Linked DNA regions of Solanum lycopersicum. The protein of the gene in region 1 binds, or shares a complex with, the protein of each later gene. Links are inferred from orthologs where the notes say so. Each region holds a gene or a part of one and is shown in the gene's direction. Other genes may lie near its edges.

Region 1 (3,571 bases):
TATGAGAAGCAGCCATGCAGCAGGGGGCCGGCAGATTGTTAGATCTGGAGTTCTCGCAAGGCCAGGTGACGGAATCCCAGTTTCAGCAAGCTGGTTTATGTAAATCATAGGCTGAAGGGAACTCGTCCGACTTTTCGAAAGGGTGATGACCACTCTAGGTTGGTGGGCAACCCGGGATGGAAGTGGTTTTAGGGTTGGTTCACCTCCGGCGACCTCGCCGGAGCCGGAAATTGTCTTGGGTCCGGCTGGAAAATCTCAGATCCGGAATTTTGAACCTGTTTTACTGGTTCCAACTCCATTTTTCTTCTTCTAAGGAGAAAGGGCTGCTAGTCATGTTTTTGTTAACTGTTAACTGTTTTTGGGTACTAAATATGGATGTTATGATGTTTAGGAGGATGATATGTTGCCATTAGCATGTTCTGAGGAAGGTAGAAGCTTGATTAGTAGGGAGGGAGAGAAATACTTGATGTTCGCGGAATTTTTGGGAGTGTTCTTTGAAGGGAAGGAGGGTAGGGTGTTAGAACTCCCTCGAGGCATTGAACAAGAGGCAAGAGGGGTTAGAGAAAAGGAGATTGTTGACATGAGGGTGGGTAAGGGAAAGAGTATGCGGAAGGATAAAAGGGAGAAGGTAACTTGCTGGAGTACAAGAGGAGAGGTAGGAGTAGGAGTAAGAGTTGGGGTATAGGAGATTGGAGGATTGCTGGTTAGGGTAAATTCTAACCTACTGGTGTTCAAGAGGAGATGTAGGAGTAGGAGTTAGAGTGGGGGTACATGAGATGGGAGGATTTGTGTGAGGGTAAAGTTGTTGATTACGGAAGTAAAAATTATTTCTTAGAATGTGAAGGGGGAATGAGTGACCCTTATAAGAGAGCTATTACTAAAATGGGAGTAGAGAGTTGGGGTGGGGTTTGGGGGTTGGACTATTGTGCCTCTAAGAGACTAAAATGGAGGTGGTGACAAATGCGGTGGTGAGAAGTCTTGATTTGGGTGGTGGATGGGCAAATATGATTGGGTTTCGACTTTAGGGAATGCATGGGTATCAAAGTTTTTGGGGATGACAGAAATTAGACATGATGGAGGTAAGCAAGGGGGAGTTTATGGTCGCATTGCTGGTAAAATCTTTGGAAGTGATGAGGAATTAGGCCTCGGGGAAAGGAGGGTGTACAGTCTGGTGAGGGAAAGAGAGTTTGTGGGAAGAGATATCCACTATGATGATAGGGTGGGAGGTCCCTTGGGTGTTAGGAGGGGATTTTAACACTGTAAGATTTCATGACTGGAGAGTGGATTGCAAGGGTGATTTTTAGGGCGATGGAGGAGTCTTTAGAGTTTGTTGATAACCAATATCTTCTTGATCTTCCTTTGACAGGACAAATTTACTTGGGCCAGAGCAGGTGATTCCACATCAAAATCTAGATTTGTTAGATTCTTGGTATCCACTGATTGAGTGGAGTTGGTCCCAAATGTGTTGCAAGTCCCATTACCTAGATTGACCTTGGATCATACGCCTATCTTGCTAGATGGGAGTAGAAGGAGCAGTTTGCGCATTTCGTTTAGATTCAAGAACATGTAGCTCAGAGAACTAGATTATGTGGATATAGCAAATAGGTGGTGGAACGGGTCTGAAGTCTTGTCTTGCTAGCATCTCCAAAGAAATGGGGAGGGCTGGAGTGAAAGATTTCAGGATGTACAATAAAGCTTTGTTAGGGAAGTGGATATGGACATTCGGGATGGAGGAGACTGCTCTTTGGAGGGTGGTGGTGGATAAATATGGCATAATGGATGGTGGATCGAGTATAAAAAACATTGTAACTTTATTTAGGTATGGTTTGTGGAGGAGTATCATGAAGGGGTGAAAACATTTTTGTGGACATATCTCTTTCAAGGTTGGGGACGGAAGTAGGTTTAGTTGAGGACACATAAGTGGTGTAAGGAGATCGAGTTGAAGGAAGCCTTACCTAATTTATATCGTGAATCTAGCCAGCGAGAGATGACAATCCAACAAATTTGTAGGTCTCATGAGTGGATGGGTGTTATCCACCATGACTTAAGATTCAAAAGCAACCTAAATCATTGTGAGATGGAAGAATTTCACAATTGATTCAGCTTTTGTATAGCCTAGGCACACCAAACAACTTAATGGATGTATGTAGGTTGCAAGAGAGTGGTGATGGCTTATTCACCGTTTGCTCTTTTTACAAGAAGTTGCTAGTGAGAGAGGTAGGTATTTACCTCCAAGACTCCATTTGATCCTAGAGCACTAAGGCGGCTTGTTTATTTGTATTTTTGGCGGTGCATTGCCCCCTTATCAATCACGTGGGTCATTTGGAAAGAGAGGAATATGAGGGCTTCTGAAGGTGTGGAACTTGATATTGTAAAAATGAAGAGTAGTGTTTTGTCCCTAGTTTCTTTTTGGTGTACTTGCGAGGTCCCAATTTGTATAGAGGATTGGATCTCTTCTGTTGAGAACCATTATTTGAGAACCATTATTTGGTGGAGGTTCTCTTTTTTGGTGTATGGCTTGTATATATTGTTCCCCGAAATACTAATAAAATTCACCTTGTTAAAAAAAGAGAAGATGTTGACCAGGAAGGAGATTGACTATCCTTATGATTCGATTTGGATTTCTGTGATTCCAAGAGATGTATATTTTTCTTTCACTTGGTTAGTGGCTAGGGGGGGTAATCATGACACCTAGAATGTAAGGAAGAGAAAACTCTCTTATGTCAGTTGGTGGTTTATGTGCAAGGGCCTGGGCACATTAATAATCTTCTTCTTTATTGCTGGTCATTCTCGACTCTCGAGATTATGGTGGGAAACTCTGGCATGGTTTGGAGTACAATGGGTGATGCCGGGCGCTTTGAAAGCAATGTTGACCAGCTGTCATTGTGGCAGACGGAGGAAAAGACATAGGGTTTGGAATGTAGCACTTAGTGGATTGTGTGGAGAGAAAGAAATAGGAGAGCTTTTGAAGGGATGGTGATAAATTTAGTTTAGTTGAGGACTAGCCCTCATCCCATATTGCTTTTTGGTGCATCCATGAGATCCCCTTAGGTATAGAAGATTGGATGCCTTTGGTATAAAAAACATTTGTTTTTGCAGATTTTCTACTTTTTGGCTTATCTCTTGTGTATGGTCGTTTCTTTCTCCCAAACATCAATAATATCTTCTTAAATTAAAAAAAACACTGTACGTATCTAATTTTCTTTTTACCATCTGCCATCAGTGCAAAATTCATATCAGCAGAAGAAAAGACTGGTATAACTTTTGATGATTTTGCTGGCCAAGAATATATTAAGAGAGAACTTCAAGAGATAGTTCGAATATTGAGGAATGAAGAAGAGTTTCAAGACAAAGGGATTTATTGCCCAAAAGGTGTGCTTCTTCATGGTCCTCCTGGAACTGGCAAAACACTTCTGGCAAAAGCTATAGCTGGAGAAGCAGGATTACCTTTTTTTGCTGCTAACGGTACTGATTTTGTTGAGGTGAGAAGTACTTGCAATTCCGACACACTTACATGGAAGAGTAAATTCTAACAGCTGCAAGATTATTAAAGTTTCTTTAATTGACTATT
Region 2 (3,571 bases), on another chromosome or scaffold:
TAGAGCTACATACCAATGCCCTGTGGTCAATGTATTCACTTCCTTGTAGTTTCTTTGGCAACCTTTCCCTTTTAGTTTGTTCCTTTAAGAATGACAACTTTCTAAATTAGGAAATGATTGAAGAAGTACTTCCAATGTACCTTTAATGAGAAGATTTTATAGCCACACATGTTATGGAATTTTTAAAACCACAGGCTTCTAAAGCCTTAAAGCCACACAAATCTTAAATTTTGAGACATGGTTATGATCATCAGTCTCAAAAATCTTCCTTTCTTAAAGTCCATTCCTATTCAAATTGCCACAAAAATTGGAATGGCGGGAGTTCAATTTTGTGCTGTTTGATTTCAAAATGCTTCATATTCTTTTTCTTTCTGTGTAAACATGCTTCATCTAAGTTCACTCTGGTAAAAATTGAACAATGATATATTGGCAAGGAACAGCGGCTGAGCCACGTGTAAAGAAGGGAATTCAATTGAATCCCCTTCATCCAAAAATTAATCTTTGCAATAGGATAAAAGCAATTTTCTGTATGCATATAACTTTTTGAATCCCTGTGAAAGAAAAAGAGCTTCCAGTGTAATGGAAAATGTAGATAAAAAATTATTTTTACATTTTTGACTCTTTGTTATAGTTCATGGCCCTGTCAATGGTAAAAGAAGTTCATGCTTCATAATCATATATGTTCTATTCAGATGATTATTTTATCTCGAAATTCTTATGCAAAGATTAACTGTGGTAGAGTTTCAACCTAAGTCCCAGTAAGCCTTATCCTATTGCTGGGTTCGGATACAGGAAGTCAGGAACCCATTTGCTTTATTCAGCTTTATCTACAAACATCCGCCACTCGATGTCAAGTAACAGGTCTTTTATTGATGTCTCTGTTGTTTTTCTCATCCTCTTCCCTCCTTTTAAGGATTTATGTACCACAATTCCCTTCAATCTGCATAATCAAAGTTCTTTTAGCTATTGCGGAATCTCACAATACAAGCCTTGTACAATTGGCTGTGACGTTCAGAGAAAAGCCATTTCGACTGTTAAACTCATTGAAGAGATGACTTTTGAGTTTTCATCTATGATTATAATGAAGTTCTGAAGTTGTCTTCTTGTTGCAAAATTAACATTTTCACACGTAAAATATATTGATAAAAGACAACATATAGATCCAATAGATTCAAACTAAATTCATCGGCATCTGCTTTTATGAAAAATGACAGATGAAATTGATTGCCTTATTTTATTTCATCTTTTACCTATTTGAGGGTTTCATAGTCTGGAAGTCTAGAACACTTGGAAGCCAGATTTTGCTGACAGCTTATGTAGTCGTGTTTGCATTCCAGGAATCTATGCGATATGATCAACTTCGAGATGTGGTGGCCAAGAGAAAACCTGGATGGGAGTATTTGCAAGAAGTATGACATTTTTTTTTTGTGGTAAATATGTCTGAGTAATATCCCGATCAACTTTCTTGACTAAATTATCTTACAGGCCTTGGTCTCTATTGATCCTGCCCGAGCAAGAGAAGATCCTATTATTGTGAAAAACGTTCCTTACTTCAAGGCCAAGAAAACTCTGGAGGCAGAAGTCATGAAGCTTGACCCTCCGCCGCGTCCTCAAAATTGGGGGGTATGTTTTATCTTTACTAGAATTTCTTACTATTTCTAGTTACATTCTTGTTTAAATGCCCGCTATTTTCTGTATGGTTTATCTTGGAGTTATTGTGAATAACCATTGTACATTAGATAACTTGTTTTTCCGACAAAGTCCCCTTAGAAAAGCTAAAAAAGACGGGAAAGTTCTGCTTCTATCGGCTGTCTTAAGTGTGTATTAAAATTTCCTCCGCATCTTAAGTTCAAGTGATTAATTTGGAAGGTCAGCATGCTGTTGATTTGTCAGGAAGTTCTCTCTTGCTCTTCTATTGTTATTGTTATTTTCCTTATATTCATACGGGGTAATACAACCATTTGCAGGAGTTGAACCTTCCATTAAACGCATCTTCTTGGAGTGAAAAGGACCTCAAAGACCCAAAAAAGCTCTATGAGATGACAGTTCTTCTTAATGCACAGAGAGAAATTTCTGAAAAGATGCTGGATGCCCAGTGGGAAGCGAAATGGAGAGAAGAAAAGGTTGGTCTATCAGAGATTTCTTTTCCTGAAATGTCAGTAGAGAGTATTGAGAATTTCTAACCAACCCCAACTTGTTTAAGACTAAGGCTTAGTTGCTGTTTGTCTAGATACGAAGAGGGAAAAAAATGTCGTATGGGTTTCTGATTATTTTTTAACCCTGTTCATCTGGACAAATTTGACCTTTTCCCTTAAACATGGACACTTTAGTTTCCCTCATGATTTTACTGATTAAACTGCTAGGATAGAATTTGATGTTCTTGTTCAATCACAGAAGCGCGAAAAAACAACAACAAACAAATTAGATGTATGGCTCCAGTTTCATAATAATAATTCAAAGATCCATAAATGTATGCCGCTTCTGAATTTCTTTTACCCTCTCTCTGTTTTGGTATTTTGCTTGCTTTGTAAAGTATTACATAGTGACTTCACTGAAGTACAATTTTTCTTTCTTGTGCCTGCTAGTTTGTGCTTTCAAGTTTGAACTGGTTAAGAATTTTCCTGATAATCAATACTCCTATTTTCTTTGCCTCAGATTGAATGACTTTATCTCCAGGAATGTAATATTTCTCCTATTCAATTTGTTTCTTGCTGAATGTAGAGAAGAAGTCTCTTAGTAGCTTACTCTTCTAAAAAAGTATTCAAAAGTTTAAAGTGTGTGGCAAAGTCCAATACAACTTGTAGCGCGAAGTATTATGAAGTGGCACCTTAACTAAATGATATTCAAGCAAAAGTCTTGACTATCTCCTTCAAATTTATTACCTGTAATATGTACATTCTTGAACTTCGTGAAAATGATTTTAAGCGTGTTCTAGACATGAGTCTTCAAGAGGTGCATTGATAATGCTTAGTAATGTTTGCATTAATTATACATAGATTTCTTATGCTTTATTTGCTTTGGTGTATTAAAAATAGCATGCATTGCATAAAAATATTTACTGACTAAAGAAACCCTTCACAATTATGTTCAAAAAGATGTAAAAAAGATTTTCAGGGGCAATAAGTCTTTAACTATGCTAATGCATGCATTAAAACCCCTTGCATTACTAATATCTAGAAATCCATGGTATTAGTAATACACATCTTAATGTACAATAGAGTGTACATTAGTTATACATAGCATGAAAAAATATACCAAACAAGATATTACTAATACACAGAGTTAATACATACATTACTTTTGCTAATACATTCTACCAAACAACCCCTTAAAGTTCTATCTCTGGAATGCAGATGACTGACAATACTGTATGTGTGGTACGGGTACCTTCTCTGGCATCTGAAACATGTATCTTGATTCATATTTTTTGTGTGTAGCTGGTGTCTACAATTTGATTGAACTAACAATTATCTCATATTTTCCCGATATCTTTTTGTCGGACAAATAAACATCTATATTACTGATATTAGTTGCTGATATGTTCTCTTCTCTGTTATTTTTTGTTCATATC
Region 3 (3,251 bases), on another chromosome or scaffold:
CAAATCTTGCATAATTACTATTTGAAAATATATGTTTACAAAAATACCCTTCACACTTTATTTATTTATACACTTTCTTGCAAGCTGCAACAAAGTCATTTGCTAAAACATCATTAACTCCTCCTCTTCTTCTTCTTCTTCTTTTTCAAAAATAATATTAAATAGTTGTACTATTGAGTCATAATATTTTTGTGAAAAGTTGGAAAAGAATTTCTTTTATCAAATTTATCGCCACAATAGTAATTTTTCTTATTAAATTATGTTGAAATTAGATTATTATTTTTTTACAAAAAATATATCTAAGAGGCCATAAAGTCTATTAAAACACCAACAAATTAAAAGACAGAAAAATAGATGAAAATGAAAACACATAACAAAGAAATTAAAAGAAAAGAAAATGTTGGGAAATGTTTCAAAAAGGCTTTGAGGGTAGTTTTGTAATTATTAATTTAATGCAAGTTTTAAATATAATGCATTGCATAATATTTTTAGAAAAAAAAAATTGTTTAAAAAATACCCTCCTTAAATATGGTGGAAAGGATAAAAAAAGTTTTTAAGGCCAATTGTGTCTTTTATAATGTTAATGCATGCATTAGAACCCATTGCATTACTAATGCATAGAAATAGATGGCATTAGTAATACACTCTTTAATACACAATAGAGTGTATTACTAACACAAGCATTAGTTATGCATTGGCTAGAAAAGTGTACCAAACAAAGTACTACTAATACATCAAACTAATGCATGCATTATTTTCTCTAATACACTCTATCAAACGACCCCTTAGAGTATTGTCAGGCTTAGAAACTCCCCAATTCCCTAATGTAAACCATATTTACTGAAAAAAAACCTATTATAAACTATTTGTATGTTCATTTTTACAAAGGGAATCTCACATAGAATTTCTTGAAAAGAATGCGTAGTGGAGCAGTATATGAGCTACACAGGTTAGTTATAATTGAACTAGCAGAGAGAAGAACCTATGTAATACCTATCATTCACGACAGAATCAAATAAGAGATATGTGTATACACCAAATGCCACTTTTAACCAAACTTTCAAGGGCTCATGGACTTAATTTGGTTCAGAAGGATTTACTTGGAACGTCAAACGAAATGGTTCCTTTATATCTTGCTATATGTAGGAAGCTGTCAAGTGCCAGAGCATTGACAAATACTAGAGAGGATCTTCTTGATAGTTAGAAAAAGAGGATGCTATGACACAAAAGGAGCCTTAGTTGAGCGAACTCTTCATTGTTGATGCCGCACCCATCTCGGATTCTTCAAAAATACACTACTTTTGGCGAATTTGACACGCACCTATTCGCATTTTTGAAGAGTCCGAGCAACATAGAAAGGAGCTCATTGTAGTACTGATACTGAAACATACATGCCAATTAACATTCTTCATTGTCGCTCCTCAAGCTGTCAGACAGTGATAAATTCAAGATTGATAATAAATTTGAAACTTGAACAGGAGATTTAAAATGACTTGCAGACTTCGTTTAATTATCACTTGGTACCTCCACAGATGTTTAGAGTGGATAACCACCTTTTGATGAGCTAATATCAATTAGTTTAAGCCTTGATAAACTGTTTCAAATGCATATTTCAATTTGTTTCCACATTACCAAGATTCAGGAAACTGGTAGTTTTTCCAAGCAAAACATTGAACATTTTAACTCTTATCCTCTGGCAGCTTTATTTGGGCAATACTGCCTGGAATGGTAAAAATTTAACCATTTTGCCACCCGTAACCTATACTTATAGGTTTTTTTAGAACAGAGAATACCTGATAATTTTCATCAAAATCTCCAAGTGTACTCCCAGTTTGTTTAGCTTGTCTACATCTTTTGTTTGCATCCTTATTTCTGTTGACACCCTCTGTTGCTTCTTCAGGAAGTAGAAGACAAAATGAGAGGGTTACAGCCTGCCATGTTCGAAGATTTTGTGAAGCCTTTCCAAATAAACATGGAGGAGGTAATATAATATTTTCAGATTCTCAATCTTCATATTTACTTTCAAGAGATAATGTGAAGTCTTTATAACAATACCATTCTCTTTAGAAACGTGAGAATAGGGATAATATAGAATGTGTACAATGCAACCCAGTAATATGTCTGCTGTTATTTTTGTTTTAAACATCCTGTTGCTTTGCATGACGGGGATGGGGCTCTCAAAGTAGATTGTACGAGGCTTGTCGCGTGCTTTTGCTTAATGATCTGAGTCAGGGGCAACCTTCTTCCTTGTGAATATTTTTAGCTCGCAATCTCATGCAGATTTTGATTTTCTCAATTGTACTGTGCCTATAAAAATGTTTTAAATTCTCAGGAAGGACCATTGCCTCATAATGACCGTTTGAGTTATCAACCGCTGGACATTTATCCTGCGCCCCTCCACAGAAGTTAACATCAATGGTGGTTGTTTGAGTTTTCTGGTCAGACCGACATCGGAAGTTGCCTAGTAGTGAATGTTGAGGTTTAGAGACAATGTCCTTTTTCACATCAACTCTGACCAAAACCTTTGCAAACCAACAGAAAGGCTGCTTAGTAGATAGTAAGGTTGGGTTGCAAATGTTCCATTTTTTATTATTTAGGCACATTTTTGTTTCTTCTTTCCTTCTTTTGCTCTCTTTTCTTTTCCCTTAATTTATTTCATGGTTTAAATAGAGCAACTTTGTACAAGAAAGACCAATGAGAATCGAAAATGTAAAATTTGGCTATTTATATAAGTTAATGTTAAGTATATATTCATCCTCTCGATGTTCTCAAATGGAGTAGTAAATGTACAATACTATGACTTGTTTGAGTTATTCTCAATATTCTTATATCTATAGGTAAAAAGAAAAAAAAAACAAACTATTAAGCACATATGAGAGTCAACAAAGCTTAACTAACGAATTTGACACAACTTTGTGTAAAATCGGCTAGGTGAGCCACATGCATAGAATTTAAGTCCCACATGTAATTTCAGGGCATTTGTACGCCTTTCAAAACTTTCTTAAAATACACTACAAATAACTATCGAATAGTGAACCCATCAAATGAAGACATATTTATAAATAGAAATAATAATCAAGCAATATTAATGTTTGGTAAGAAAATATTAAGATCCATTGATAACGCTCAACTACGCACACATCATATAACCCAACATATGAGGTCGGGATTGTATCCCATGAGGAACATAAGTACATTTGTTTCTATAATAATATCTTACAAGTTATATTTGTGTCTTTAAAAAAACAAAT

The links. The genes of interacting proteins can lie anywhere in the genome.
Region 2: the proteins of probable inactive ATP-dependent zinc metalloprotease FTSHI 4, chloroplastic (region 1) and uncharacterized protein are in contact, whole or in part, in a cryo-EM structure (PDB 8XKV), measured with the Arabidopsis thaliana proteins. The link is inferred for Solanum lycopersicum from reciprocal best matches to the Arabidopsis thaliana genes EMB3144 and emb2737. Residues at the interface, in NP_201263.2 of Arabidopsis thaliana: Asn149, Phe150, Ser151, Met154, Tyr170, Gly171, Gln172, Arg206, Met207, Pro208, Ile209, Asp210, Gly211, Asn213, Asp214, Asp232, Val233, Val234, Glu237, Thr240, Thr241, Thr244, Phe245, Trp248, Leu252, Phe255, Val256, Tyr259, Asp263, Thr266; in NP_001032071.1 of Arabidopsis thaliana: Pro63, Glu64, Ser67, Ser70, Tyr71, Ser73, Val74, Val77, Ala78, Leu80, Gly81, Asp84, Ile85, Asp88, Lys92, Cys102, Asn103, Trp105, Gln106, Ala107, Leu108, Arg109, Lys114, Gly115, Thr116, Gly117, Gly173, Thr174, Gly175, Ala176.
Region 3: the proteins of probable inactive ATP-dependent zinc metalloprotease FTSHI 4, chloroplastic (region 1) and ATP-dependent zinc metalloprotease FTSH 12, chloroplastic are in contact, whole or in part, in a cryo-EM structure (PDB 8XKU), measured with the Arabidopsis thaliana proteins. The link is inferred for Solanum lycopersicum from reciprocal best matches to the Arabidopsis thaliana genes EMB3144 and FTSH12. Residues at the interface, in NP_201263.2 of Arabidopsis thaliana: Lys91, Leu92, Arg93, Glu94, Glu96, Arg97, Leu100, Met103, Glu104, Val112, Glu115, Arg116, Val119, Met120, Asp123, Arg126, Tyr167, Tyr170, Asn213, Trp216, Lys217, His220, Val224, Asn225, Val226, Glu227, Val228, Asn230, Val231, Val234; in NP_565212.1 of Arabidopsis thaliana: Leu255, Ile258, Ile259, Asn262, Arg264, Ile265, Gln266, Lys270, Leu273, Leu277, Val279, Lys359, Leu360, Pro361, Tyr362, Thr363, Tyr364, Leu366, Lys368, Glu373, Asp382, Lys384, Arg385, Met390, Glu392, Tyr398, Asp401, Ile402, Pro403, Leu404.

The regions. Positions count from the first base shown.
Region 1 is NC_090803.1:56,950,332-56,953,902, forward strand, and holds part of probable inactive ATP-dependent zinc metalloprotease FTSHI 4, chloroplastic, read left to right. Parts: intron 1-3,223; coding exon 3,224-3,482; intron 3,483-3,571. UniProt on the Arabidopsis thaliana protein: Functions in chloroplast biogenesis and chloroplast division. Required for plastid development during embryogenesis. Might be involved in chaperone functions or play a structural role in the thylakoid FtsH complex.
Region 2 is NC_090811.1:5,248,307-5,251,877, forward strand, and holds part of uncharacterized protein, read left to right. Parts: intron 1-1,337; coding exon 1,338-1,409; intron 1,410-1,485; coding exon 1,486-1,623; intron 1,624-1,967; coding exon 1,968-2,123; intron 2,124-3,571.
Region 3 is NC_090801.1:59,816,097-59,819,347, forward strand, and holds the end of ATP-dependent zinc metalloprotease FTSH 12, chloroplastic, read left to right. Parts: intron 1-1,900; coding exon 1,901-1,981; intron 1,982-2,332; coding exon 2,333-2,410; 3' UTR 2,411-2,748; downstream 2,749-3,251. UniProt on the Arabidopsis thaliana protein: Probable ATP-dependent zinc metallopeptidase.